Lonchura striata: one gene and its partners. Each later gene encodes a partner of the first gene's protein in a complex. Links are inferred from orthologs where the notes say so. Each region holds a gene or a part of one and is shown in the gene's direction. Other genes may lie near its edges.

What was found.
Region 2: the proteins of TUBB4B (region 1) and PACRG are in contact, whole or in part, in a cryo-EM structure (PDB 7UNG), measured with the Homo sapiens proteins. The link is inferred for Lonchura striata from reciprocal best matches to the Homo sapiens genes TUBB4B and PACRG. Residues at the interface, in NP_006079.1 of Homo sapiens: Glu194, Phe260, Pro261, Arg262, Gln291, Phe294, Asp295, Ala296, Arg306, His307, Gly308, Arg309, Tyr310, Val333, Lys336, Asn337, Ser339, Tyr340, Phe341, Gln375, Ser413, Asn414, Asp417, Ser420, Gln423, Gln424, Tyr425, Gln426, Asp427, Glu432; in NP_689623.2 of Homo sapiens: Glu40, Gly41, Phe42, Thr43, Val44, Ala46, Met47, Met48, Val53, Arg54, Gly55, Pro56, Pro57, Ala58, Ala59, Gly60, Ala61, Phe62, Arg65, Lys154, Arg160, Arg162, Arg191, Gln192, Pro195, Asn198, Ile199, Phe200, Asn202, Met203.
Region 3: the proteins of TUBB4B (region 1) and EFHB are in contact, whole or in part, in a cryo-EM structure (PDB 7UNG), measured with the Homo sapiens proteins. The link is inferred for Lonchura striata from reciprocal best matches to the Homo sapiens genes TUBB4B and EFHB. Residues at the interface, in NP_006079.1 of Homo sapiens: Asp26, Glu27, Asp31, Pro32, Thr33, His37, Gly38, Asp39, Ser40, Leu42, Gln43, Thr55, Gly56, Gly57, Lys58, Ser78, Gly79, Pro80, Phe81, Gln83, Leu215, Lys216, Leu217, Thr219, Thr221, Asp224, His227, Pro243, Gln245, Phe270; in NP_653316.3 of Homo sapiens: Tyr523, Gly524, Val525, Gly526, Leu528, Ile529, His530, Asn531, Arg532, Tyr537, Arg539, Asp542, Arg545, Ala546, Ala549, Ala550, Arg552, His553, Lys556, Tyr608, Asn624, Phe625, Trp628, Asp630, Lys631, Thr686, Leu687, Leu688, Ser691, Asp692.

Annotation. Positions count from the first base shown.
Region 1 is NC_134624.1:4,243,234-4,252,744, forward strand, and holds TUBB4B (tubulin beta-4B chain), read left to right. Parts: upstream 1-5,692; 5' UTR 5,693-5,742; coding exon 5,743-5,799; intron 5,800-5,876; coding exon 5,877-5,985; intron 5,986-6,067; coding exon 6,068-6,178; intron 6,179-6,541; coding exon 6,542-7,602; 3' UTR 7,603-7,748; downstream 7,749-9,511. UniProt on the Homo sapiens protein: Tubulin is the major constituent of microtubules, a cylinder consisting of laterally associated linear protofilaments composed of alpha- and beta-tubulin heterodimers.
Region 2 is NC_134605.1:36,998,167-37,007,700, forward strand, and holds the start of PACRG (parkin coregulated gene protein), read left to right. Parts: upstream 1-4,834; 5' UTR 4,835-4,949; coding exon 4,950-5,156; intron 5,157-9,534. Other genes in the region: PRKN (E3 ubiquitin-protein ligase parkin), read right to left, coding at 4,226-4,232. UniProt on the Homo sapiens protein: Microtubule inner protein (MIP) part of the dynein-decorated doublet microtubules (DMTs) in cilia axoneme, which is required for motile cilia beating. Suppresses cell death induced by accumulation of unfolded Pael receptor (Pael-R, a substrate of Parkin).
Region 3 is NC_134603.1:120,171,219-120,181,682, forward strand, and holds the start of EFHB (EF-hand domain-containing family member B), read left to right. Parts: upstream 1-6,482; coding exon 6,483-6,548; intron 6,549-6,834; coding exon 6,835-6,894; intron 6,895-7,731; coding exon 7,732-7,875; intron 7,876-9,209; coding exon 9,210-9,390; intron 9,391-9,977; coding exon 9,978-10,088; intron 10,089-10,464. UniProt on the Homo sapiens protein: Microtubule inner protein (MIP) part of the dynein-decorated doublet microtubules (DMTs) in cilia axoneme, which is required for motile cilia beating.

The DNA of each region.
Region 1 (9,511 bases):
TGATGTTTATATCCTACCTCATGGACTGTCACTCCTACTTCAAGAGCTAATTTTGAACACACTGAAGAAAAACAGGCCTGAAGGAATACTGGGATCAGAAAACCTCCAATTTTTGTCACAGCTTTCTTAATATAAAAATCCTTCCACAATGCCATCAAACGCAGGCAAGTGCCAGTGTTTTGGTGTTTTCTAAGTGCAGACATCAGTGCGTACTTGTACACTGAGGTGACCAGGTTCCCTCCACGTGAGCTACTCCCAGCCCTCCTGCAGTCGGATGCTGTCAGATCCCTGTTCAAGTCAGATAAACACACAACAGGAACTGCTGCAGTAGTAGTGTGCAATGCCAGGGATCAGTCACGAGAGGGAGGCTGGCAGAGCACCCCTCGGAAAGCCTAAGGAAATCTCTGACACAGCCAGCAGCTTCTCCCACCACAAATGACAACAGTTAGCAGGGAGGCTTCTCCAGGAACATCTTGTGGATGCAGGGCAAAGACACTGCAGTATGGAAACTCTCTGTGTGGGATGTGAAAGCCACTCTGATCAGGGATTTAAGAAGCCATTGGAAAAAGCCCTCTATGCAGGGAGACAGGCACTAGCATGGAGTATGGATGAAGGCTCTTTTGGAAACATGAGGGAGAAAGAATAATCCCTACCAGGCCCTGAGAATGAAGAGGAGGTTTGAGAGAGACAGAAGAATGATAAAATCAACTTCTGTGTGAAGGATAACTTATTTTTGTTCACAGCAGGGGTGTCACCATATGTGCACCTCATGACCAAATTAGTCACCACTTCTTGGTGCAAAGTCTCAGGAGAAACAGATCCTCCACATTAAAGAAGGCAACAGCTATCAGGCTTATCACTGGACAGGAACAGCAGAAGAGCTGTGGAACCTTCATGGGAACAATGTTCAAAGTTCACAGGCTTCAAACATGAAGGAGATGTAAATCACGAATTAATGCCAAACATTACACAAAGTAAAAGCTGGTTTAGCATTACCTTGTCTCACAGTATCACAAAAAATGTGAAACAGTCCTGGAGTGAAAGCTCTGAAAGGACAGACTCACCACTTTGTCCACCTTGTGAACGGAGTTACCCAGTGGAAATCATCAAACCAAATGGAAGGAACTCTTCTTCCACACTGATCGTAATTAAACCACAGGACTAATCAGGACAGGAGGCTGTTTATGCCAGAAGTTTACATGGCTGTAAAAGGTGATTAGATAAACTCATAATAACCCATTGGGGCTATTAAACAAAAAGTTACTTGTTTGTGGCTGAAGAATTGCCTGAACCACCTGCCACATCCATATCTGTTTGCCCTGTTCCTCTTTGGTAACTGCTGCAGAGCATTAGAGACAAGACACTGGCCTGGGTGGGTCTGTGGCTTGATCCCATTCAGCTATTCTGATTTCCCTTAGGCAGGAATCCCACAACTGCACCTCTCACTCACTGGTCTCTGGAATCAGCCTCTCACCTTCATGATTTCAATATCACAGCAGCAGTAATTTCTGGAAAACAAGACTGTTTATCCTTAGAAGTAACAATCAGACAAAAATGAGGAAACACCTGCACATACCCACGTCTCACTTCAGTGTTACCATAAACCTGGAACGACCCCAACACCAAAAACCCTCTGGTTCTGAAGGCTGCTCCTATCACACTCATCCGCCAGTGTCCCTCCCTTAACTCAGGGCTTCAGGTTTTTACCTACAGAAACATAATTAGTTCTGTGATTTCTCTCTGGGCTCCTGCCAGCCCCAGGTAGAGGCTCAGTTCAGACTGGATCCTGTTTCAGAGACACAGGCTGCAATCTCACCGGGTAAGCACCGAGAGGAACAACAGTCGCTGTGTGCCTGCCTGCTGAGGGGAGGGATCAGCTCTGTACACACATGCAGAGAACACTTGTTAAGCAAATGGGGAAGGCAATATGCAAGAGTGAAAAGAAAGTCCCTCCCCATTCTGTCCAAACCAGTTGTGTTTACAGTAAAATCTGTTTCCAAGCCAAAAGCAATACAGGTAGTTAAAAGCCAAAACAATGGTAATAAAAAGTTTTAAAAAACCCTAATACGTAATTCAGAAAAACAGAAGTGCAATTTCCAACTTGTTTTAACTTCCCAGTGTCTATCTTTGGGTTATACCCAGGGTCTTTGGCCATGTAACACTGCCCTGATTTTTTCTAGGACCCTTCTCACCACATTAATTTATGCAGCACTTACAGATGGGATCTGCCCCTAAATGAGGTGAAACCTCCCTGCTTGTCACTTGCAGCAGAGTTTGAGGAGAACTTTCAAAGTAATTAAATACCAGCTAAGACAGATGTCTGAAATGAAAACACAATGTGGGAGCCACAAGCATCCCACCTCAGCACTGTTCCTTTCTCTGCCCTCCCAACTGCCTTCCAGCATTCCCTACTCTGGCAAGATGCAGCCTCTCCACTAAAACAAGGGAAATGCACTTCAGCATTCGGCTCAGGCAGGACTGTGGAATGTGCAGCTTTTTGTCCCAGAATTTGCCTCACACTCAGTATTCCATGCAGAGGTTCACCCTGGGAGGAATGCTCCATGTGGGCCAGGGTTCTGGAACAGCCTGCTGTGGCACTTGCCAGCTCACCTCCTGGCACACACTAATTAATGCTGGCCTGCCACAGCGTTAGAAATACCAGGGCTGACATGGTCAGCAGCTCCAGCAGCTCTCCATGGAGATTCCTGACTGTGCTCCTTCTCAGAGAGATCTTAGAAGTACTGGCATTTTACTTCCATTTTAAAAATGGAAAAATATTTAAGATAGGATTGTCATTTCCTGTGGATGTGCAGGTAGCTAAGAACAGAAATACTCGCTGACTGGGCTAGAATTAGCAAAAATTAATGTTGCACAAATAATTTGAAATGCCTCCCCCTTAGATATTCAGGTGGCTGAATCTCCTGGGGAAACCTCTAGAAAGTCAATCAAAGAGCAAAGTTTAGCTGCTCCATAGGGTCCTAGCCCTGCTGCACTGGGAACAATCCTGCTGGTGTTCTGCAGACAGGTATGGGAGCCTTAACCGAGCAGAGCATTTCCACTCTCACACTCCCTCTGGGAATGCTGGGGGTGGCAACAATTGCTCACTCCACACATTACAGAGCAGCTTCCCAAACATGAAAGGCAGTGCAGGCTGGAGTAGAGGCTGTGGGAAGCACACAGGCTCGGGATTGCTCATACAGTGAGAAAATGGATGGCACTAATGCACAGCCCTTTGCTTTCTGGCCCTGGATGAAAAAATCCCAGACCTGTATCTGCATTACACAGCACTCGTAGCAGAGAACCTCCCCCAAGCCCTGCAGTGGCTCCCCCACTCCATCTCAGGGCAGGTTTTCCAGGGTTTCCTGAGCACACATACCTCTGAACGCTGTGCTGAGCACACCTGAAGAGAATTGATGCTGAAGGTACCTCTCCAGACAGCACGCTCTACGTTCCCTGGCTTTAATCACAAAGAAGCCAGGATTCTTTTTGTACATTACTCTGAAGAGATGGCATCACATCCTGCAGGAAAAGCTGTCTTTACTGATTAGCACAGCCTTGTGTGTAACCGTGAGCAATCTTATCAGATTCATCCTGGCTGCCTTTAGTACCTAAATGATGCTGCACTTTTTGGAATTGGTCACCTCAAACACCATCAGAGAACAAAAAGGTGATGTCAGAGGACTGTGCCGAGCTGGAGCGGGCCGAGCCATCCCTTTCCATTGATTCCAGCATGAACACTATTCAATCAATGCCTGTAATTAGAGGAATAAATCTGGACCCTAACGCCTCTGCGTTACTCAGCTCTCTCAAAGGGAGCTGCAGGAACCTCCTGCGTTCTGGCTGTGGATGTGAGGGATGAGCTGTGTGTGTCTCCCCAGACACCCCACAGGCAGACACAAACCTTTCCCAGGACCCTCAGTCACTCCTGATGCCCTGGGGCTGCTCCAAGTGCTCCTGGACTCCTACCAGCACCTCTGCAGGAATATGTTGTTTACATGCCAGAAGTATTGATCTTCATAATCTTTATATTAAGCAGACTACCAGAGGCCATTCAACCTCCAGCCAAAGCCTTCACGAGGCTTCTATATCCTGCCACCTCCTCCTCACCTGACCCCAGCACAGGATTGGATTATTGTTATCCAGGCACAGATTCCAGGATGAGTGTCACACAGAGCTGGTCTGTGTCAGCACAATTGAGGTCAGCCCACCCCACAGCAAGACAGCAGGATGAGACTCCCTGCCTTGGGAGCTCCATTAGAAGCCTCTTTCAAGTTTTTGCTCCAGTATGAAAGAAGAGATGCTGGGACTTGTAAACCAAGCTAGAATCACAATGAATACATACAACCATAAAAAGATTCTGCTGAAACAATAATCAAATATGTTTAATAAAACTGTGACCAATGGATGCACTGTCTGGGCAAGAATGTGCTCACAAAGCTGGGAGGTAGAATAAGGGACAAGGAAAGGCGAGGGTGGTTATTTATTCAGCACAGGGTGTCTGGCTGCCTCAGGACAGGGCTGCAGCACCCACACACAGCCCAAGACGGAGTGTCCATGTGGGGAGGCCTTGACAACTAAGCAACGTCTACCTCAGATCCCCTCACAGGCAGATCTTCCCCTCCCACCACAGGGGCCTCTACAGAGCTGCCACTGCAAGGCTCAGAGCAGCCCTAAGCCCTCACAGCAGCTGGACACCCCAAACCTCCACACACCCCTCACAGCTGCCAGGACCCCCCTCTGCCCTCACAGCCCTCTCACGCCCCCACATCCCAACACTTCCCTCACAGCCCTCCGAGCGCTTATGGCACCCCCAAGCCCTCACAGATCCTGGAGCCCCCACAGTCTTCTCACAGCTGCCAGAACCCCTGAGCCTTTAGCGTCCCCTGAGCCCTCAGCGTCCCCCTCAGCCCGCCAAGGCCTCACACTCCCGCTCCCCTCACACCGCCCGCTCCAGCCCCTTCCCGCCACCCGCGCGCGCCGCCGCCATGGCAACGCCCGCGCGCGGCCGCGCCAGCCCGGGGCCGGGGCCGCGCGCCGGAAAGTGCTGGAATGTGGCTGCGGCCCGCGCGTGCGCACGCGGCCTCCTTCCCCCACTCGCTGCGGCGCCGGCTGGAGCGGGACGGGGGGACGGGCGGGGAAGGAAGGAGGGAAACCTGCCTGGAGGAGCGGAGCCGAGGGGCGGGGGGGAAGCGCTGGGGACTCGCGGGGAACCCGCCCTGTCCCGCAGTGAGGAGGAGCCGCCGCCTCCGCTGCGCAAAGCGCGCACTCGGGTCCGTGAATGGGCGGCTGCGGCGGCCACCGCCCAGAGCCCGCTGCGGAGTCACTGCGACGGTTACCAGGGCGCTTCGTTCTCCGCCAATCAAACGGCGTTAGCTCATCCCCCACGGCCGGCAGCCAATCGGCTTCGACATCAATCATTCAATTGAGCCAATGGGGAGCGCCGTGAGCGAGCTGGGGCGGGCACTCGCGGCTCCCGGTTGCCCAACTGTAACGCCAACAGACAGGAGGGCGGGGCGAATGGGAGCCGTCAGCTTGAGTGACAGCGCCGCAGCCAATTAGATTCTCTCATTTGTAGAGCCTCGCTATAAGCATCCAATCGTTGCGGCGAATGGCCGCCTGGGCGGGGAGAAGAAGGCTGCGCGCGCATTCCGCTGCTATATAAGGGCTGGCGGTTGCCTCGCACAGCCAGAGTCGGTTGGGGAAAGCCTGGGGTTGTGGAGAGCGCTCTGAGCCGCCGCCATCATGAGGGAGATTGTGCACCTGCAGGCCGGGCAGTGCGGGAACCAGATCGGAGCCAAGGTCCGGGCGGGGACGGAGGGCGCGGGGGCGGGAGGGGAGCGCGGCGCGGCCGGCGCTGACGCGCTTCTCTTGGGCAGTTCTGGGAGGTGATCAGCGACGAGCATGGCATCGACCCCACCGGCACCTACCACGGGGACAGCGACCTGCAGCTGGAGCGCATCAATGTCTACTACAACGAGGCCACAGGTAGGGCCCGGCCCCGCCCCGCGCTCCCCCCGCGCTGCCCGGCCCGGCGGTCACGGCGGTCACGGCTCTCGCTGTGTTGCAGGCGGCAAGTACGTGCCCCGCGCCGTGCTGGTGGACCTGGAGCCCGGCACCATGGACTCGGTGCGCTCCGGGCCTTTCGGGCAGATCTTCAGGCCGGACAACTTCGTGTTCGGTGAGTGCGCGGGGGCGGGCGCCGCGGGGTGGGGCGGGCAGGGCACTGCGGGGCTAATCCTGCCGTGGAGCGCCGGGGCTGCGGCTGGGAGCGGCTCCGCGGCGGCACCAGGGGTCGTTGCTGTCGGGTTCTGGGTTACCGCCTCGGTGCGTGCCACCGGGAGAAATGGAGTGGGTGCTGTATCATTGGTAATTAATGTTTGTCTGTGTCTGGCGAGCCACTGCAGAGGTGCCTGTGTGAAACCACAGCCCTGCGCTCGATGAGATGAAAGCTTTCATGGAGCCCGATGCTCTTAGGCTTTGCTTGCGAGCAATAAGCAGGAAGCAGTGACCGTAATCTAATACGAAAATGGCTCTTTTCCAGGTCAGAGCGGAGCAGGAAACAACTGGGCAAAGGGCCATTATACGGAAGGTGCTGAATTAGTCGATTCTGTGTTAGATGTTGTGAGAAAGGAGGCTGAAAGCTGTGATTGTCTCCAGGGCTTTCAGCTTACTCACTCCCTGGGTGGTGGCACCGGCTCTGGCATGGGTACCCTTCTCATCAGCAAAATCCGTGAGGAGTACCCAGACCGAATTATGAATACTTTCAGTGTGGTGCCCTCCCCTAAAGTGTCAGATACTGTAGTAGAGCCCTACAACGCCACGCTGTCAGTGCACCAGCTGGTGGAGAACACGGACGAGACGTACTGTATCGATAACGAGGCACTCTATGACATTTGCTTCAGAACACTGAAGTTAACGACCCCCACCTACGGTGATCTGAACCACCTCGTGTCAGCCACCATGAGCGGTGTCACCACCTGCCTGCGGTTCCCAGGCCAGCTCAACGCTGACCTGCGGAAGCTGGCAGTGAACATGGTTCCCTTCCCACGTCTGCACTTTTTCATGCCTGGTTTTGCCCCACTCACGAGCCGTGGGAGCCAGCAGTACCGGGCTCTAACCGTGCCAGAGCTCACCCAGCAGATGTTCGATGCCAAGAACATGATGGCGGCGTGTGACCCTCGTCACGGCCGCTATCTGACCGTGGCCGCTGTCTTTAGGGGCCGCATGTCCATGAAAGAGGTGGACGAGCAAATGCTAAACGTTCAGAACAAAAATAGCAGCTATTTTGTTGAATGGATCCCTAATAACGTTAAGACAGCAGTCTGTGACATTCCACCTCGCGGCCTCAAAATGTCTGCCACCTTCATTGGCAACAGCACGGCCATCCAGGAGCTGTTCAAACGCATTTCTGAGCAGTTCACTGCGATGTTCCGCAGAAAGGCCTTCCTGCACTGGTACACGGGCGAGGGCATGGATGAGATGGAGTTCACAGAGGCTGAGAGCAACATGAACGACCTGGTCTCTGAGTACCAGCAGTACCAGGATGCCACAGCTGAGGAGGAGGGAGAGTTTGAGGAGGAAGCTGAGGAGGAAGCAGAATAAAGCTATGCAGTTGAACACCTGTAAATTTTGTTTAAAGTTGTATGAACTCTCTCATTCAAAAGTTCTGTTTGTGTTGTGTTATTATTGCTGTTTCCAAGTCACTCCCAATGCTGTACAGGCACCATTAAAGCAGTTCTCACAGTGCACGTCCCCGTCTCCTCTGTTCACACCGGTATGATTCCCGTGTGCCGTCCCCGTAAGTGAGCCCGCTGATGTCCTGCAGGTCTGCAACACAAAAACTGGGCTTGGCACGAGCACTGCCACCTCGTCCACGGCAGCCACCCTCCTGTCCTGCCCTCAGCCAGGTGCTGCCTGCTGTGTCACCGGCAGGGTGGCAGTCCTGCTCCTGCCGGTGCGGATCGAAGGCACTCGCTGGTCTCTTAGAGTCAGGTACTGCTGGAGGGGGGCACATTAACAGGGAGGGTGGATTTAATTCCGAGCTGTAGCTAAATTTAGGTACCTGCCTGTGGCCTGGTGCAGCGTGGCCTGGCAGGAGCTGAGCAGGGGTGGTTTGAGCTGCCTGGGCACAAAATGGTGCCACAGAGCTGCCACCCAGCACTGGGTGTTCTGCAGCAGCTGAGCTGCTCCACTGCAGCTCCTCAGCGCTACAAACCCAGCAGGGAGCCCTGGCCTGGCCCAAGGGTGCAGGGCACACTGTCACAGGTGCCATCAAAACTGTCCCACGCACACAGCCCTTCTGCAGTGATTGCAGAAATCACAGCAGAGGTTTGATAATCGGTGTTGATGCAGCCTCTGCTTGTTGGGTGAGCTGAACACCTGACAGGTATCTGACACTGGTTTGTCTCGTGAAAACCCTGTTTTAACAAGCAGGTTTTTACAATGGAACCAATTCCATTGTAAAAACAATTCCATTAGAACCAAAACCATTGGAACACATTCCAATGTTTGGTGTCACTTCAAGTGACAAACCTGCCAACCAAGGAGCTGGACAGGAGGGAGCAGGTTCCTTCCCTGCTGAAAAAATTCTGTTCAGCGTTCTAAATTATAACTGCTTTTGTTTAAAGGTTTTCTGCCTTAATTAATTTTCTCCACCCAGAGCTGGACTGGTTGGAGCAGTTAAAACTGTTCTGACTGGTGGCTCCAGAGGCAGGGAAGTGGGAATGTCTGCAGAAAAGGGCCCAGTGTCAGACCTGCACTCAGCATTCTCCTCTCTGGGCTCAACCTCCCCATCAGCCACAGCCCAGCCCTGCCAGGAGAGTTGTTTTCCCATTTTGTGCTTTCAATCCTGCCACATTTCATATCTTCTCCCATTTCCCCCCTCTGCACTGCAGCAAGGACGAGCAATGAGTTCAGCTCTTCCCAGCTGAGCTCCACGATTTCCTACCCACATTACTGAGATGTGACCAAACCCAGCAAGGCAGTAGTTGCTGATTCGTTGATATTTTTTAGCCTGGTACGTTAATGCTTCCAGGTGCATGGACACACTTTGCCTTACACACAAAATTCCTCCAGACCTCTCCTTTTAGGCAGCCCAAGATGTCACAGGGCTCGGGCAAGGACGTGTCCTGATGGCAAATACCATTTCCTTACACTTTTTGTGCTTTTTCAACCCCTTCATACCATCTACCTTTTCCTTTTAATCAGACTTGAAGCTTTTTGGAACAAATCTTCCTCATACGTGACAGGTGGGATGTCACTGAGCCTGGCAGGGGATGGTGCCTGGAAATGTGAAGCCTGGGAGAGGCTGGCAGTGGGAATGCTGAGCTCTCCTGCAGCCAGGGCATGGCAGAGTTCCAGTGCCTCAGCACAGACCACAAAAAAGTCTACTACCCATGTGGAGCATCTCAGTGATTGTCCACTGCTGTGCCACTCCAGCTAATAACAGCACTACTTAACCCAGTAATTAGTGACTTTCGTTTTCACTCGGCTGATGAACTTACGTGGTACA
Region 2 (9,534 bases), on another chromosome or scaffold:
ATACATTGTTTACTTTGGCAAGGACTCTTAAGCAGTAGTTTGTTGTTATGCTTTCCAAAATATGTTTTTCAATTTCCATATTTTGTTAGCAAAGACCTTTTCCTAGATGTTTCTCAAAGTAAGTGGAATTTGAAACTCAACTTTATTCTCTCATCACACAGATAGGCTAGATCACAGCACTGGGCAATGGATACTCTATTTACATATTGCCTACAAGTAAGTATGGGCCATAATTTAAAGAAATTGCCAGATCAATTTTCTTTAGGGCCCTATCTGAAAAACTCGAAACACTGCATCAGAATATCCTTAACCCCTCCTTAGTCTCCAGTGACATGATATTATAATACTGTTATTTTGCAGTCATTTAAAAAAAAATCAACCAAAAATACCAAAAAAAGCAAAAAGACATGCCCCACTCTTTCTCACCCTGTCTTTCAAAAAGAAATTCAAGCAAAACTTCTCATCTCCCTTAATGGAAACAAAATACAGCATGTTTATGTGTATCTAGCAAAACTAAGCTATCTTTTGAAGATATCCTACTTCAAATGACACTAACTTTATAACACCTTGCTGACAGAGTAACAATAAAGCATTTTGTAGGAAAATAATAGTTAATATGTAATTCCAGTAAAACACAAAGTGTTTCATGGTTCAATTCTGTACATGCAGTCCAATACAGTGGCAGAAGGGAAAAAGACTCAAAACAAACTGAGCAAAACAGGTCATGTATTTGAAATGCAAGTAGCCTTTGATATTCCAAGGCTTAGGTTTTGTTTAATCAAACTACCAGCCAGATTATTCCACATGTTTGTGAACTACAACTGGAGCTTGTAACTCCAGTCTTGTAGTTGAACTATCCATAGCATTAGAACACCAAAATGCCAACAAAAGAAGAAAATTTCAGAAAATACAAAAAGACATCTTGCATACCAAAACTGCAGTATGAAATCAAAATATCTAAGTAGAAAAACTAAACTACTTTTCTTTTGGTTGCTACACTAGTACCATTATTATAATAGTACCATGTATATAAATATATTCAGGGAAATTCTGAAAGGTTTTAGTCTTATTTTCCTTCTTCAAGGTTATTTTCATACTAATGAGAAATATTTATGCAGAAAGTATATTACCAAACACTGAAAAAGGTTGCAACACAGAGGAATGATCGGTCATCCAGATAGCTAAAACTTTCACCTAGGCTCCCATTATCACTTAACTTGATTACTGCTGGATGAATCATATTTCACTGTCAAAGCCCTTCGCAACCTGTCGTTATTACCACCTTCATCTTCCATTCGCCACAGAAATGCTGAACTGCCACTGTTAACTATATAGAGTCGACCTTCTACATTTTTAAAACAGTTTAGGGCCTTCTCCTGGCATTTTTGCTCTTTGAGAGAGATTTTCTGAAAAAATTTCACAAAGCTGTCCCAGCATCTTCCTTCAAAATCAGTTTTATTTTTTTATTTTTCCCCCCAGAACAGGTGTTCAAGAATGTGACATTATTGCCAGGGCTGTTGACTAAGAAATAGATCAGCCAATCCAACTGCAGATTGCCACTTCCATTCCACTAACAACAGGTTTTAGCTGATCCAATGGTAAGCAAATAAATAAAATAAAGAACAAGCTTTAAAACCCCACCTCAAAAAAACTCCCCAGACCTACCAAGCCCCTAAGTAGAGGTAATGCAAGCTATGTCACTTAACTAGCTCAGTCCGGATTCAAATTACACTTTAGGGAACCTGAATGTGCATAAGTCTACATGACCTGGTCTGTGAGATATGAAGAGAAAAAAGAAAGATAGAAAATAAAAAATCAGTTAAAGGAATTATCATGTGTATATTATGGTATCAAATTATGAGGATGTAAGACATTTCTAGAGATATGAAACTGTGAAACATTTTGAAAAATATACTATGTATTTTATAGGAAAATTCTTTTAAATACTCAAGTTAAAAAAATGGGCAGATTATTTTCTCACCCTTGCATTCCTACCCCCAATTTTTGCTATGGCATTCCCAGCTTCCAAATGTTTAGAGGAGTTTTCAGAAAGTCTCAAAGCAGGATACTGGACCAGGTCTCCACATCACATACTTTGAAGATAATTCTTTTTTTGGGGGTGAGTGGGGGAGGGTGACATGGTTTTTGGGGTGTGGGGAGGCTGGGATAGAGTTAATTTGACTTAGAAGCTGGTAACATGATGCATCTTGAATTTAGTTTGAGAATAATGTTGGTAACACACTGGTGTTTCAGTTGTTGCTAAATAGTGCTTAGCCTGAATCAAGGACTTTTCAGTTTTCCATGCTCTGTCAGTGAGGAGGTGCATAAGAAACTGGGAGAGTGTGGCCAGGAGACAGCTGACTCAAACTAGCCACAGGGACATTCCACACCAAGAGATAAATTGGTGGGAGCTGGTCTGAGGATGGGCTGGGCATTGGTCAGTGGCCAGCGTACAATTTTATTCTGCATCCCTTTTTCCTCCAGTTTTCTTCTTCTCTCTCTTTTTCATTACTATTATCATAATCATTAGCATTATCAGTATTTTTATTACTCTGATTCAATTATTAAACTGTTCTTATTTTACCTGAAATTCTCCTCCACACCCTGCAAGGCAGGGGAGGAGGGGATGAGCCAGTGGCTGTGTGCTTCTTAGTTGCCAGCTGGGGTTAAACCAGGGCAGGTTGCAACTCATGTAAAGCTGTGTTTTTAAATATGCAACTAATTGGTCTGTACATTTCATAATCAATATTCACAAACGTTTCCATCTGCCACAGTGAAAATAAAATTATCATTCCTCAGTCACAGAACATTTATATTCATGAGCAGTAAGTAAATATTTAGATTTCAGTGTGAAGCTAGAGGCATCAGCTCTGTAACCACATGGGCAGTCCCTTAGGTACACTCAACTTACTTTTCTGAAGCATTGAAAAAACAAACACACACTGCAGTTCTGCAAACACATGTATTTTATATACTACAGCGATACATCAGATCAGCAGATAACATTGCAAAATAAAAACACTGGGATACCTGACCCTCTGTGCTTTCCTTAAGGCAAGCCTTCAATTTAAAATGTTCTCTACTACATAAGAAAAAAGTAGCTCAAATGACAAAGTCCAGTAAGAAAAATTCCACAATTAGGAAGGGATCATTTGCATTAATATGTATACAGAGTGAAAATACTGGACAACATTCTTTTTAGTTTTAGCAAAGGTGAAAGAACATTAGCTATACACATGCAATCATATTTTCACTGCTAAGAAGACCCAAAGCATTCTTGGAAACTTCTGAGACGTTCCATTTAAAAACAATAAACATTTTCACAACAAAATGCGGAGTTTTCAATTTGATCAGATCTTAAGTAGACAGCAACCATGACACCAATGCTGACGAAACAGCAAGCCTGAGAACAGCAAGGAGTTGCTAAAATGCGTGTGTGCAATCCACTACCTTTTATAGGTTTTACTTTAAATAATTCTCAAAACTGAGAAAATCAAAGATGAAATGCATAATAAATAGGAACGCTACAAAACAGATCCTGCAATTTCGAACTTTCCCAGGTATGGATTAATCTTTCAAGGAAGTGAAGAAAACCCACTGCTGAAACAACCAAGTCACGCTTCACACCAGCATTGGATGGGTACAGAAATCAACTCAAGGTCCAAAGGGTCACACTCCCAACACCGTGAGGTGTTGAAAGTTTCTTCTTTTCCAGGTCGCCACCAGGTACCACGCCGGATTAATAACAAGTATATATGCTGGCAAGGCCAAAAAACGTTCGCAGATCGCACAAACCTTGCCGAGAAGCACTTACAATCGATATACCGAAAAGGAATAAAAGAGCTCTAAAAATGAGCTCAGTCACAAGAACTGGCCAGACCTTTCCCCCCCTCCCCCGGGGGTAACAGAGGAGGGCTTTGCCCCGCCGCGGTTTAAGCAGCGGGCCAGGAGCGCGGGCGGCCCCAGCCCGCCCCGCCGCGAGTGCGAGCTGCCCCGCCCTGCCGAGACACCGGGCGAGGCGCGCGGGGACCGAGGGGAAGCGAAGGGGGCCGGGACAGCCCCCGCCGCTCCCAGGGCCGCAGAAGCGACAGCAGAGGCAACAAGAGCAGCGGCGCCAACAGCAGCGGCCGCGGCAGCGCCGGCGAGGAGGGCGGAAGGGAAGGGGCGGGGAGGAAAGGGCGGAACCGCATCCGGGCGCGCCCCGCTCCCTGACGCGCTCACTCACCGATCATGGCGGCGGCGGCGGCCCCGCGCGCGGAGAGGGGCGAGGCGTGCGCGCACGTGCCGGCCGCACCCACCGCTCCGCGCTGCCCCTTTCGCCGCCCTGGGGGGGTCGCGCCGCTGCGGGCGTGTTGGGCCGGCCCTGAACGCGCATGCGCCTCGGTGGCGGAGGTGGAGGCACGCGCTGGGCTCTCTGGGTAGCGTAGTTCCTGGGCAGCTCACACCCGCACACGCTCTTCTCACGTTATCGCCTCACGTTTCCGCCACACACCGCTAATGACTTTCTCGTTAATTGCTGTCCGCCGCCCCGGTGTGCGGTGCACCGGGGGTAGGTACAGCTGTCCGGGACCGGGCGGTGCCGACGGGGCTATTTGTGATTCCCCTCCCGCTTCCCTCAGGGTTGTTGACGCGTTGCCTGGCAACGGTCGCGTGGTGGCAGGTGCCGACGGAGCTCGGCAGGGCCGGAGCCGGCGGGGACACCGCGGCGGGCGGGAGGGCGGGGGCGAGACCCCCGGGGGACAAGGACATCAGGTGGCGAAGGGCTGGACACGGCGGGGTGCGGGGGACGAGCGGGGATGATGCAGAAGGGGACTGGGGAAGAGGGGCAGGCAAAAGGGGTCTGTGAGGAGTAGGGAAGGCGCGGGACGGGTGTGTGAGGCTGCCGCTGGTTGCGGAGGGAGAGAAGCTGGACCTAATGCCTGCTCTAACTCGCTGGACACGGGACGCTGATGGTCGCTTGTTTTTTCCAGTCCGTAACTTGCATCTGGTCCGCCGTGGGCGCCGGTGGGGAGATTGTAATGGAGGAGGGGCGCCCGGGCCCCTCAAAATTGGCCGGTGACAGGCGGCCCCAGCAGCAGGAGAAGAAGGACAAGCAGCAGGACAAGCAGCAGGCCTGCGAGGGTTTCAGTATTAGAGCCATGATGAAAAACAGCGTGGTATGTTTGCTGCAAGCATAGTGGTGATACTAATTAACTGAACTTGTCCAAGAAGCATAGCAAGTTAGAGCTGTGGATATAGCGTGGCAGGAAGGTGTGCAAGTTTCTAATACTTTATCTGGAGTTTGCTGGTTGCTGAAATTACCCTCGGACTTTGCAGGAGTATTGCTGCAAGTTGCGATACTTTCACCAAGTGCTTTATTTTGGTGTTACTTCTTTTTTTTTTTTTTTTCTATGGTTTTGTATTGGCAGTGCACATCCTGTTAAACTGCCAGCCTATGGAATTGTGCGTGAAGCTTCCTGCCTCCCACTTAGCAAAATGCTGTCCAGTAGTGCAGTATTTCTCAAAAGTTTTCATACACTGGCATGGTATATAAAACTGATATGAATGTCACATAGATCTGGAAAATAGATTAATAGATTTTTTTAAATAAGCTTGGAAAATAACTTCTACACCATCTAGGAGAATACTAAACAAACAAACATTAGTTCTCCAACTTGTAGTTCAAAGACAGAGAAATTGATCCAACAAGTAGCAGTCACAATTTCTAATGAACTTGGAGGCTTGGGAGTTAAAATAGTAGTATAAAGGCCCTTCAAATCTCTTTATACTGTTTTATTTATCTACCTTTATCAGAATTTAGGAGTTAAAAGCTTTAACTAGTACAGAGTACAAATATTCAACATGTGAGTGGATGAGGTAATATTACCATACATCTCTGCCTAAGCTCCTGAATTGTATTCTTCATTTGGACACAGTTCAAGGTGTTAGCAAAGGCTTGAGTCCTCAAGGGTTTTTTTAAATCTATAGAGTGTTCTGACAGCTGTTATGAAATACATTATTTCCCTTTGTTTTGCTGAAGTGGTCTTCCTGGAGCAGTCTCTCTGATCTTGTTATCAAGATGTTATGTTATCAAGAAGAAGTTAGCAAGAACATCCTCTTAAAAAGCCAAACAAGTATGTCTTTAAAGAAATTTTAAATAGAGTAAAAGTTGTATACCTGAAAAACTTTCTCCTATTTAGTAAAACTGCAACATATTTCACCTTACTTGGAAAAACACAAGGTGAATACAGCCAAATAATCTCTTTGTTTTAAAGATTGTTTGGTTTGTTTATTTTTATTGTAGAGATGCATGGAATGAACTATAATACTTCAGCAACCTTTAGGATTAATTTTTAAAATATGTTTCCTGTTCTCCAGAGAAAATTCAAGTAATGGATATTTGCATGTGGTTGTTTACACCTAGATATGTAAAAGACTATTTTGTCTAGAAGAATCAGCAGTTTCAGTTGAGTTTGAGAAGCACATATTTAATTTATAAAAAGGAGCTGTGACTTGTGAACATAACTAACTATGAGTTTAATCAGAATTCAGGTTTCCTTTTAAATATTTATAGAGTATTAATTTTTATGGCTGCCTTTATGACTTCCTAAACATGAACAGACCATTAAATCATGTGATACTGTTGTTAAGGAACTGCCTACAAGTAAATCTGCTGCCTTTGCAGCTACTCACAGAATAACAGAAATTATTTTCTTTGGCATGGACATCTGGAAATCATCTAAGCCAACTTTCTACTTGAAGTGGGCCTGTCACCAGTATCCAGATCAGGTCAGTGAGGGTTTTCCTAGCTAAACTGTGACATCAGGGATTGCCTGACCTCTCTGAGCAGCCTGTTTCATTTCTGCCCTGCTCATCTGTCCCCTCGCTTGCCCTCCCAGCCTGTCAGAGCTCGGGTTTACAGTATTATGACCTGCTGCACATGTTCTACTCATAACTGGGTTGGAAGCTCTGAAATTCTTAGTGGTCTTGGGAGATTCATAGTGCCAGGGCTATGTTTTGCAAGAGCTCCATCTGTGGTCAGGCAGCCACCAGAATAACTTCCAGTGTGCAAAAAAAGGAATATCTCATAGCCACGCTCTCTATGCTGAAGTGGGAGTTTCTTTTTACTTTTCCAACTACTTTTTGAATGGAGCTTTAGATTTATTAAGTACTCACTTGTCAGAGGTTGACATCTTTGATGAAGTTCTCATGGAAGGCTTGGGAGTTAACTGAAGGGTTGAAAGCACAGCAGGAATATCTAGTTACGACATGGTAATTCTTTTTGTTAACAGCATGATAAGGCATAGGGTTAAACGTGTTTGGCATCTCCAGGTCAAATAATGAGGTATTGATTAATAGCCTTTAGTGCAAGCATGTAGTTAGTCTTAAACTCTTAGCGTAGATTACCTTTATGCATATATGACTGTAAATATTATACTAAATGTTCCGGAATTCTTTTACATTGCTTGGGCAAAGAGTGTTTTACTAAGCTGTTTTTCTTGAATGTTCCTGAATAAAGTCTGCTTTTGTAGTTAGTAGTAAGTGCAGAAATTAAGTAGATACAGTATTTAAGACTTTTCTCAGCTCTTGCTAAATCAAAAACTTGCTTAGTGAAATACAATGCTTAAATATTCACCTAAAAATGTTCCTGAACTGAATAAAGTGTTTAAGTTACTCCAAAACTGTAAATTTATATATCAGTTTAGATTAAAAGCAAGGTTCAATAAAGGTCTTCTATAATAACAAGAAACATTTACATTTTTATTGTTTTGTCCTCCGGTGAAATCAAGAATGTTATGTGCTCTTACTTCAGAGGTACTGCATATAGAACTAGGAACACAATTAAAAATTAATGTAGAGACTAGCCGATATAGAAGTGTCTGAACATGAATGTGAGCAGCAGGAATATATCTCAATTCATTTCTGATCCTTTCTAGATGACATTTTCCTGTTTTCTGCAACTGTAGAGAAGAGAATGAAGTGTTAGTGTCCCACTTTTCTGTAATGCGCTGGTGGTAAAAGCACTTTTTCAAGGACAGGATTCATTTTAGTACTTAAAGGAAACAGTAGAATGATAATTCTTATCTATCTCCCAACTCTTATAAGATTACTATTACATTCATGTGTTCCATGACATCAGTCAGAAATTGCCTTCAGGAACAGGCCACAGGGATAGAATGAGAATATTTACTAGATGATCTTAGAAAGGAAGGGATGCTAAAAATTTTCGTTTCTGTATTTCTAAAACCAAAGCAGCTATTCAGCCTTAGAGTCTTAGCTCTGTATAGGGCACAGCTTTCATCGCCTAAAAAAGTGTAATTGCTCTTAAGCAGAAAAATGGTTATTTGTATTGCAGCTCTGGATTTTCATTCTTCTGTTCTACATTTAGGAATCTGCAGTCTCTATGTGTGGGAATGAGTTCTCAATCTTTGTACTTTAAGCACTTCTCTCAAGCCATTTTCAGTAATGTGTTGTGAAGAGCTTTCTTACGCTTTACCATTAGAAAATAACTCCTAGAAAAAGTTTAATTTTAACCATGATGTGATTTGTTTATGTTCCGAAATTTGTGATTTGTCATTATATTTATATTCATCTATCCACTGCATAATCAAGACTGATTTTGTTATTTACTTTGTAGCAGTCAAAGTTTCTAATTTGATTTTGAGGCTATAGGAAAGAATACAAGAAAGTTGTATCTTTTGATTATAACAGCTAATTTATTGGAAGAATCAGTGTGTTTTGGGGCAAATAGATGTCAAGTTAAAGGAGTATTTTGATAGAGGTATATTGAGAAGTAGCACATCTGTCTTGGAGGAACTTCTCCAGTTTAACAATAGCAGTTGTGTACAATCTAGGAGTACACTTCAGTGAGCACTGCAAGACAATTTAAACTGTCAGTGCTCTGGAAGGCAGTCCTATCTTCTTCCTCTCTCAGGCTGTTTAGTACTGCTGCCTGTTGTTGTGTCCTCATTTGTACAATGTTGGCTGCTCAGGGAACTGTTCGTGCTGAAAAAACTCCAACCTTTTAAAGCTCACAGTGTTGAACTGCTGTCTGTGGGATTGAGGCAAGCAAGGCTTCTCCTTTAACGAGGTTCATCTGTTTTGCCCTTCTCCCTGTCCTGACTGCATGCTTTCATCTCTCCTTTTGCACTGATATTGTTTTTTCTTGTAAATATAGAGTAAGTTGGATCAGCTGTAACAGCTGCAAAGGGAAGCAGGAGAGTGTCTGCATAAACTGTTTGTGTGAGAATGTACCCTCTTGGAAATATTGCAGTCTTAATTAATTTAAAACCAGTATGATACCAAGTTCTAGCAGGCTAATGACACAAGCAATTACAGCAGCATAAACTTGCACCATAATTGAAAGGTAGTGTTTTCATCCCTGAACATTTATTCATTGTGCAATATGTACTTTTGTATGGCTTTGCAGTAAACTGAACGGGGGCCCTGGTTAAACCTGGATTAAAAGCAGCTCAACATGTTTGGTTTTTTTTTAATTTAATAGCATTTTAATAGACATGACATACACTTCGATAACAGTATAAGCTCACAAAA
Region 3 (10,464 bases), on another chromosome or scaffold:
GAGGCACTGGAGCGGGTTGCTCAGACAAATGCAGGACGCCCCATCCCTGACAGTTTCCAAGGCCAGGCTGGGTGGGGCTCTGAGCAACCTGCTGGAGTAGGAGGTGTCCCGGCTCAAGGCAGGGGAGTTGGGACTGGAGGATCTTTAAGGTCCCTCCCACCCCAAACTATTCCGTGAGTTTCTGCCACCCCGAACTATTCCGTGAGTTTCTGCCGATGCTTCAGGGGGTGCACTGCAGCCTGAGGAGGCCACTGAGGAGCGCGGGATGGGAGCTGGGTATCACGCACACAGACAAGTCCTGGTTTAATCCTCTCAAAGAACCAGTTTCCAAAGCTATTAGTCAAATGAATTGAAAGGAGGAACTACATAGGAAAACCTGCATTGCCATCGGGAATTTACCTTTTTTGAGCAGTCTCTGATAAAGCCCAGAACAAGTCTTGACTGCTTCATAGCACAAAGCATGACCTTGTGAGAAAGCAGCATAAAGGCCACTTGGCCACAAGCTGTAAGTGGGTTGTAGTGGAAACAACAATAATGATAAGCATTTCTTCAGTATAGCAGCTTTAACAAGGTCTAAGAGTTGGCATTTTAAAGAAAGAAAGAAACAAACCAACTTGTAAGACATTTAGAAAGTGTATCAATAATGGTATTTGGTAATTGATACAATTTAATGAAGATTGTTGAGATACTCCACCACAGGAAATAATCAAATTGTTGCATTCTCAAAATATATTTTTTATTTCAACCACATATATTTAAATGAAGCAAAAATCAAGTTGGGTAAAGCCTGTGGTTTGTGTTACGCTGCTTTCCCCTTCCTTAGTATCACATATAAATACTTGAACATACTGAAGTGAATGGAATGAAAACAGATTGTTTTTTTAGTCTTCATCAGTTCTTCTTTTCCATACACTTTTCCACTGGTACCAGTTTGGTCTCAGAGTAACAATTTCCCCTTTCTCCTTTATTAAGTTGAAGTTAATCACTTAACGTAAGTGCATTGTGAAAGGCCAATATGTAACTTCAAAAAAAGTAAAATAGTCTGCATTCACCAGTGATGTAGAATGCCAGACTAGCTCCAGAGAAACATGTTTGTTTAAGTAAAGTATACAAACTTTTTTGAGCTGTGAGTTTCCTAAATGTTTGTAAGAGTTGTCCTTTAACTCATGTAATCCTGCCCTAGTACACTGCTTATTTGCCATAACCCATTGACTGGTCTCAATATGTTCAACTGGATTGCAGGATTTGCTGAGCAAACAGCAGATTCCTGATAACCAAATGTGTTTTACTACACACCTGACATGCATGCATTGGAGCACCAGGCACCAGCATCCAGTCAACCTGGCAGCCACTCACTCAACTCACTCACTCACTCGCTCACTCACTTACTCACTCACCTCATTCACCTCCCTGCAGTAAGACAGAGAACATAACAAAAGAACAAAAGCAGGAAAACTTGTGGGTTAAGATAAAGACAGTGTGATAGATGAAGGAAAGTGGAAGTTAAAAGGCAAGGAAATATCTGGCTACCTCCCATAAGCAGGACAGTGTCAGCCTGTCTCCAAGCAGCAGCCACCTTGGAAGACAATCTCCTTTGTCTACCTCCATTTTCTATTGCTGATTGCAATGCTGTGTGAGATGGAATATCCCTTTGATCAATTTGGGTCAGCTGTCCTAGCTGTATTCCACTCCCACATTTCTGGACCATCAGCAGCATTTCTTCCTGGGTGGGGCTGATGACAAAGTGGGGAAAAAGAGAAAGTCCTTACTCTGTGCAAGCACTGTTCAGCAGTAGTTGAGGTACTGCTGTGTTACCAACAGTAGTTTAGTCACAAATCCACAACACAGCACCATTCAGTCTGCTATGAAGAAAATGAACTCTGCCTCAGCCAGACACAGTACATACATGAACAGTTTTTGTGGAAAAATATCACACTGAATCTTTAGAATAACTTGAACTAAATTCAATTTAGAGATTAAACACATCATACATGACATTTTGTGTTTCACTTAATCCTATAAAATAAAGGACCATACTATTCTATATGTAAGGATCATTTTCTATGCTTCTAACATAAATAATAATTCTAATATGAATTCCATTCATAAAATTGAAATAATATTTCAGATTGTCAGATGTATCTGAAGCTCAAGGCTAAATGAAATTTTTTATGCAGGAATTCTATTCACATGATATAATTGCTGTTAGGAAGCCTGTTTTGCATGCAGGAGGTTCCTGCTGGCTAACTTAACTCTCTGACTGCAGGGCAGAGCTGTAGCATGTCTTTCTCACTTTGTGAAATGCCTAAATTGTTCTCATGTGGTTGATGCTGACAGAGTAGGACAGTAAACACCAAAGGTTCACTGTGAATGTGTGAAATATGTGAAAGAGAGGCATGAGAGAATGTGGCAGTAATCAAATGACCAAGTTCCAGCTACTGTATTTCAGGCTTGACAGGTCTCTGTGGGTTCTAGTGGTGAAGACAAGTTTCTTATCTTGTAGTCTGCACAAAAAGATGTTGAAGGAAAGCTCTGAAATCACACAGATAGCCCCTACTTGTGGTCATGTTTTCATATTTTATTTCATCATGGTTCATATATCACATTCCAAAAGTGAAACTGCTGGGTGATATTAATAAATTTATGTTGGTTATGTTTTCACCAGGTGGCTTTCCATCTATTTTAGCATTTCTCTGCAGTTTATGTGCAGAATCTCTTCATTGTGTTTGAACTTCCCCCCCTCTTTTTTTTCCCTATGACATTCTTTTTTTCAGTCTCCTATCTCTACTTGTGTACATTTTCTCTGCACTTATATTGGCTTGCGTATTGCATACAGAAAGCGTGCAGCACATAGAAAACAGTAATTTCCTATCTGTAAATGTATTGAATAAGAAACTATGAAAGCAACCAGGCAGTAACAGTGAAGTGCATTGGCATGGCTGATGTAATTCAGATGTTTCACAACATTTGGAGTGTTTTACATGAACTCCTCTGGCCTTCAGAGACCTTCAGGAACCTACAAACTTAGTGTTTTGACTCTGGTCTAGGCCAGCACCATAGTCAGAGTGAGAGCTGTGTTGCAGAACATGGGGTGCTTGCGCTTCATAAAGAAAGTAAAATGCAGGAGTTTAGACAGTTTCCATTCCTCTGTTTTAGCCTAAACAACACAAAAAAATGCATGAGCTTGTGGGAATTGGATGTCAGAAACTTGTGAAATGTCAAGTACTGTTGAGGAAAAGAAGTGCTGCTGTGGAATGGAAAATTTTGTTCAACTTTTTCCAAACAGCTTTCTCTAGAGATCCTACTTTTGACATAGGAGATGACAAATTCATGCTTAAGTAAAGAAAGTTTTAATCTTTTTTTCCCATAAAATTGAGTTCAATTGGTTTTTGTTAATGCTTCATCTTATCTTTAAAATTACAAGTCCTTCCTACTCCACAAATGTTCTTTCTGTGGCCAAAATAACTTTCAGTATAAGAAAGAATGGATATGACACTGATACCAGAATGAGAGGAATTATAGGAAGGAATGTATATTGTCAGTAGGTTTCAAATTGATTTATAGGGACCCATGTTTCTGCAAAAAAGGAAAGAAGCATAGAGGCAAAAAAAAAAAAAAAAAATAGGCTCTACTTGTTTCTGCAACAGGCACTCTTTTTACATATCCAAGTCCTATTTTTATGCCTTAACACAACCCACTCCATTGGGGCTGAGTGGATGATTTCAATTAGCAAGTGTGGCCACCTGCTGGGGAAAAAACAAGGTAAAAATAAATCAGCAATGCACAGAATGTATAAAAATGGTACCACCTTGAGCACAGGTAGAGAGCCATCTAGAAATACAACAAACACAAAAATTCCATTTCCTGAATTTTATTCTGGGATAAAAAAGTCCCAGTTTCCTGTACCCTATAATTACCATCTAATTTTTACACTACTGTACTTTGCTCTCCCTCTCCATAGATCTCCCTTCTGACAACTTTACTAGATAGAAGTTTAACCTTACAGATTAATGGATCACAAGACATAACCAATAATTTTATTTATTAAACTACCAAAAATTATTGTTTTATTTTGCAGAAATGCTCTAAACTTCAGGCAACAACAAATATAACTGAAATATGAAAAGAACTGAACACACTAAGACTTTATGAGAGCTTCTTTAGTTCCCAAGTGGACATGGATATTCCATACTAGGTGTGTGATGCAGCCACGTCTACAGCAAAAAAACACATAACTTCTTTTGAGAAAGGGCATCTGCATTGCCACAGCTAGATCACAGTTGATGTTATACATGATGCTTCTTGCCTGGAGAAGACCAAGATACATTTATATGTGCTGGAAGTTCATGGATCATGGCACTGGCAAGTACTGTTGGTGACTGGACAGCCAGAGCACATCATCAGACAGCTGTGGCTGTCTGAGCCTCTCACTTTCCATTTGTAGAAAAGGAATTTAGTTTTAATGAAGTCCTTACCAAACGAATGTTAGAGAATAAAATGATGACACATGGTAACATTTGATCAATTACAATTAAGGTCTGTATATTTATCTAAAGTTGGTTTTGCCATCGAAGGACTATGGAGAATGGAGCAGGATGTGATTAAATTGCGATATTTTGCTGGGAAGAACGGGATAGTTTGCTAAATGTCATATGCGAATAAAAGTCTTTGTAACAACTGAGGGTCTGTTAAACGTCAATGAAACTTGTTCAGTCTTACCCACACTGCTTTTCTGAAATAATCCACATCTGTTTCTAAAAGGCAAATACAGTGGGTTAGATATATGAGGTGTTGACTCATTTAAGACAAACAGTGACAGCACTCACGTGTCTGATACATGGGGTAGTGCTGACGGGCTTCTCTCACCCACCTCCAAGCTATGTGTGGGTGGGGGCTGCAGTTTTCTCTAGAGGAACAGCCCCAATATTTTAATAGCATGTGACAACATTTGTGAAAGGAGCAGTATTTTTTATTAAAGTAATTAAGATTCAAAGTTTGATCAAATCTTTGAGCATGTAAGACCTCATTTCAACTTCAAGATTCAACCCACCTGTCTTAAAGCTGGTAGATTTTCAAAGATTTAACAATAGGTCTGTTATATGTGTATATGATAATTTGTGCAAATAAAATTGTCATATATTTTATAGTTATGTACTGTTAAGATATACTCTTATAAGAAGTTTTTAAAAACACACAGGCCAGCGGCGGTGAAACCACATGGACAAAGGAGGGAGGACTCGATTCACAAGCAATTGAACATAGTCAGCCCAAAGATGGATCACCCATCAAAGTAGGCCAAGGAACGTCCGATAAAAATGCGATAAATATGCGATAAAGATCCGAAATTGAGATAGCCAGAGCCATCAGTGAGATACATCTCAATGTTGAATTCCTGGAACTCCAACTAAACACGTGCATTCCAAAAAGGAAGAAAAGGGGCTCTGCCTCGAGCAAGAAAAATCGTATAAAAATCGGCCAGACAGGAGGGTTGGTGTGGAGCATAGGAGACCCTTTGCTGCACCGGTCAAACCTGCGTCTCACCCAGCGCCGACACACGGGCTCAGCACTGACCTTTTTTTTCCATTTTGATAGTGGCATTTCTTTATTTGTTGTTATTCTCTAAATTTATATTTGGTAAATTTAATAAATTTTCTTAAATTAACAAATTGTAGCTTTCATTTATAAAAGGTCTAAGGAATGTGCGACCTCTGCGGCTGGACCTTAATTATTTTTCTAGATCATGACATGTACAAAAACAGCCCAATGCAATACTTTTCGAGGGGGGTGTGAGACGTAAGTGGGGTGGCGGGTGCTGAAGGCGGTGGTGGGAGGGTTGTGAGGGGAGAAGAGGTGGGCGCTGGGGGAGAGGGGGATGGCGGGGCGCTGTGAGGGGCAGACAGGGGCATTGAGTGTGAGGGGGATGGCGGGGCGCTGTGAGGGGCAGACAGGGGCGCTGGGTGTGAGGGGATGGCAGGGCGCTGTGAGGAGCAGGACGGGCGCTGGGTGTGAGGGGATGGCGGGGCGCTGTGAGGGGCAGACAGGGGCGCTGGGTGTGAGGGGATGGCGGGGCGCTGTGAGGGGCAGGACGGGGGCATTGAGTGTGAGGGGAATGGCGGGGCGCTGTGAGGGGCAGGACGGGCGCTGGGTGTGAGGGAATGGCGGGGCGCTGTGAGGGGCAGACAGGGGCGCTGGGTGTGAGGGGATGGCAGGGCGCTGTGAGGAGCAGGACGGGCGCTGGGTGTGAGGGGATGGCGGGGCGCTGTGAGGGGCAGGACGGGCGCTGGGTGTGAGGGGATGGCGGGGCGCTGTGAGGGGCAGGACGGGCGCTGGGTGTGAGGGGATGGCGGGGCGCTGTGAGGGGCAGGACGGGCGCTGGGTGTGAGGGGATGGCGGGGCGCTGTGAGCGCCGGCGGCACCGCGCGCCGCGCACGAGCGCTGCCAGCGCCGCCGCCGTTACCGAGCGAGCAGGGTAAGCCGTGGCCATGGCGGAGCAGCCACGGACATGTCCCGAGGAGACGCTTCCCCACGGGACCCGGGAGGTGCCGAACGTGAGCGCCTTCGCCAAAGAGGTTCCACCCATACCCCTATCAGTGCTGTCTGGGGCGGAGTCTCGCCGAAGGAAGGGGCTGGAGGAGGGACGGCGAGTGGGAGGGGAAGGCGCATCTCCCTGCCAGCCCCTTCGCTCCCAGAACGGGGGAGGCTCCTTCCCACCCCCATCAAAACGGGCACACTTGGACAATGTCCCGTGCGTAGTGTCAGATCCCAATTTGACTAGTTGTGTGTATTATTACGAGGTTAGTTATACGTTATTTATTTTTTCATTGCATTGTTTAGGCTGGAAAGTTGAGTCCCGCGGACAATACGGTTGCGAGTTGTCTCAAAGAGGCGCCCAAGGTGAGCTGGTTTTGTAGAGGCTCCTGGTTTGTTTTTTTTTCCCTCTACATCCCTTCGCTTTTGAAACTACTGTTTATTTCAATTTTTTTTTTTTAATTTTTTTTTTTTTTTTTTTTTTTTTAAATCGCATGGAATTACAGAGGCTAGCTGGCAAGACTGGAAATCACTTCTGGCAGTTCATTTTCATTCCACATGTTTTACAAAAGTTACCATGCTTGCTTTGTTGGGACTAAATATAATTGTTTTAGGCGGTTTTTCCCTCTGGTAATGCAATGAAAGTAATTATTGGGAATTATTATTGCTTTTGATGGAGGTTCTTCTTTACAAGGATGCCTGCCAGAATTGTGATTCCCATTGGCCCTTCCCTGTGGACCTGAAGAGTCAGAGACTACTGAGACACAAATAGATCCTGTAAATAGCAGGTCTCCCTTTAAACAATAATTAAAGAAACCCCAACACTGTGGTTTAAATAATTTCAAAAACTGCTTCATTGATAGTGGAATTGCTGTGAATCAGGTTAAAGGCTTCTAAAATTTATAGTTGGAACATCTAGTTTTCCTCTAGAGCATGTGAAGTAGCTGTTACCCAAATTAAAAAAAAAAAAAATTATGGGAAGTGTTGAAACTTAGCAATGCTGTTTTGATAAAATTTAATCTGGGTTACGTTGACCTTATGCTCACAGTATCAGCATCTGCAGGAGCATATGCGTGTACTATAGCCCTAAAGCATCTTCGTATTTTGTTCTTATATCTGGAATGACACAAATGTCTGCAGTACATTTTCTTTTCATTAATGTTTGTCTGGTGCAAACTTGTTTTTGCTTTGTCTTACATATAGCCTGTTACTCCCATCGCTGTACGAAAGTTTCGAAATACAACAGATCCAGCTCCTGGTGCTAAAATAATATTCTACGGCAGTGCGGGTGATCCCGACGTTGCAACTCACTTGACACATGGCATAAAGTCAACCTCCAAATTCACTGTAAGAATGTGACTCATTTACTCTTGTTTAAGACTGGACTTCTTAAGAGCATTCTTAATAAAAGCAACTGATTTCTTCATAGTCAGTGATAAAGGCAAGTGATTTATACTTCAGCATTTCACAGTTGCTGTGAATTACCTGAGTTCTGAGGTCAAATCATAGGTCTTATTTAGCATTATTGAAACTGGAAACTATTTGAAGTGCAGTGACTGTTGTCAGTGATGTAACTTTCATAGTGAATGCTGAATTATTAATTTCATTTCAAGATTTAAGTTAATGAACAGTCTTCTTCCCACAAATTTTTCTGCTTGCTTTTTTTTTTTTTTTTTTGTAGGTTGCAGAGATAAAACCAGTTGAGCTCTTAGCAAAAGAGCTGTTTTCTGTGAATGTGTTCACAGTTTGGTGTAATTATTCTGTATGCTTTCTTGCCTTTGGATTGAAACTGATCTTTTTAGCTAAAAATGATAGTTTGGATATGTCAGACTATGTTGTGTGTATTCTCTAGAAATTATCTTTGTAATCTGCAATAAACAAGTGATGAGATCATCCATAGTTTTATCACACAGTTAGTGTTCCTATCTCTAAAAATAGCAGTTGTGTTAGTAAAGTGTATTTTTATGAAGGAAGTAAGTCCTAGTGTTCCAGGATGTTAAGTAGGACATTTATTAGGCATATCTAAAATGAAAGACAGCCAGGTTTTGATGTCCTTTCTTAGAAGGTTTTTGTTGAATGGATTGATCTGTACTGGATTAACCTGTACTGTCTGTTGAAGATTTTGCATTATTAATTAAATATTATCTGTAGGAAGGGTTAGAAGCCTATTCCATTTGCTAAGCATGAGTTTGGATCAATTGTATTTGCTACTACTTTTTCAATATTTATTTATATAATATTTAATATGAATCTAATAATAAATCTTCTCTAGAATCCCCATTACTTTGATAGATAGCCTGAAAAATCAAGTCACTTCAGTTTTGGTCACATTATAATTTGACTATAGTTTCTAATATGTGCTAAGAAAAGAAAGATTGCAGTCAGAAAATGCAGAAAATGTACATATTAAAAAGTGGAAAATCTAGAATAAAAAATATCTCACTAAAAGTATTTTATTTAGCTGGAAATTTAGCATAGCATTGGTTATTAGGGTTGTAGTCTTCTCTCAAGATACAGGTTTGGTTTGCAACTCAATGGATAAAATTATGTCAGTGTAACCATGAAGATCTCATTAGAACACTTATGAGCAAACTTTTGTTTGTGTGGGTAGTTGTAGTGATGTGTGAAAGATCAAAGATTGTTGGTTTTCCTGCCTTTGGTGTTGTTTGTGATGTCCTCAGGTAGCTTCATTGGTAAGTCCAGTTGCTAAAAGTGAATTTCAAGAAAAGATGCAAGACATGAAAGAAGCAATTTACTCCAGTAATCGCGAAGCACCTTTGGGTAAATCACATGATCAATCTTTGAAGTTACCTGAGGGCTTGGATATAATTAATACTACATTTGGAGTGAAAGTCTTCAAAGGTAGGAAAGTGTGACATTTAAATATATTTCCTGTAAATACAAGATAATCTGCAATTTAGTATCTAGCACATGCTCTATGATTTCAACAACTCCATTTTAAGAGAAGAGTTATATGATAGCTACTGAAAGGCCTAAACATTTTTCAGTTACAATGAAGATACAAGCAACTGAGAACATATGGTAACTACCAGGGCGTTTGGCTCTCTTCCTGATCTGTCTTTATAGATTTCCTGGGAGAACTGTAGGGTAGCTGTCAACTTACCTTCCTTTTCCCAACAACTCTTATAGAAGAAACTTCCTTGACATGTGTACCTTTCCTCCATAGATTGGAGGAAATCACATCTGTGTTACCCATGTAGCTTTCTTGAAAAAGTTCTGTTCTTCTGGAGTTCTGTGATTCTCTCCCTAATCCCATGTCATTATGTTATTAGATGAATATAGACTGACTAGCAATGTGGTAAGAAGTATTGTCCTTCCACAGTATTAGCAACTTCTCTAACAAGGTATTGTTTACAATTAAGAATGAATGAAACAAGATATCCACCTCCCTTAGCTCCCCCAACCATACATTCTTTATTTGTTTCCAGATTTAACAGCTGGAGAGCTTGTAAATCCACCAAAAACCTTTGAGGAAGTGGATACAGAAGCAAGAGAAGGACATGATTTGTACGTTCTGTCACATGAGGATTATTACGTGGGTAAGTTAAAAGACTGATAAGAAACCACATAAGAAGGTCTTTTATGTGTGTTCAGTGCCTACTGTATGCTATTTTTTGAGGTGTAAACTACTAATTTTAACCACTGTATTAATACAATATAAATTATTTTTTAAAATTATGTGAAAAAAAGCAACTGAGAGAGCATGATCTCCATTTCCAGAACTGTCAATCACTTCAGGATGGGCATTTAAAACAGTATAAGAACTTCATGGAGGAATTGGAAGCCTGATTTCTTTTGAGTGCTGTTTGAAAAGCAAAATATTTCTGTGAAACAAGAAACTCACAGATGCCCTGGTTGCTTACTGAGTTTGATATTGTCTTGCTACTGAAAGCAAGTTCAGATTTGAAGTCACAG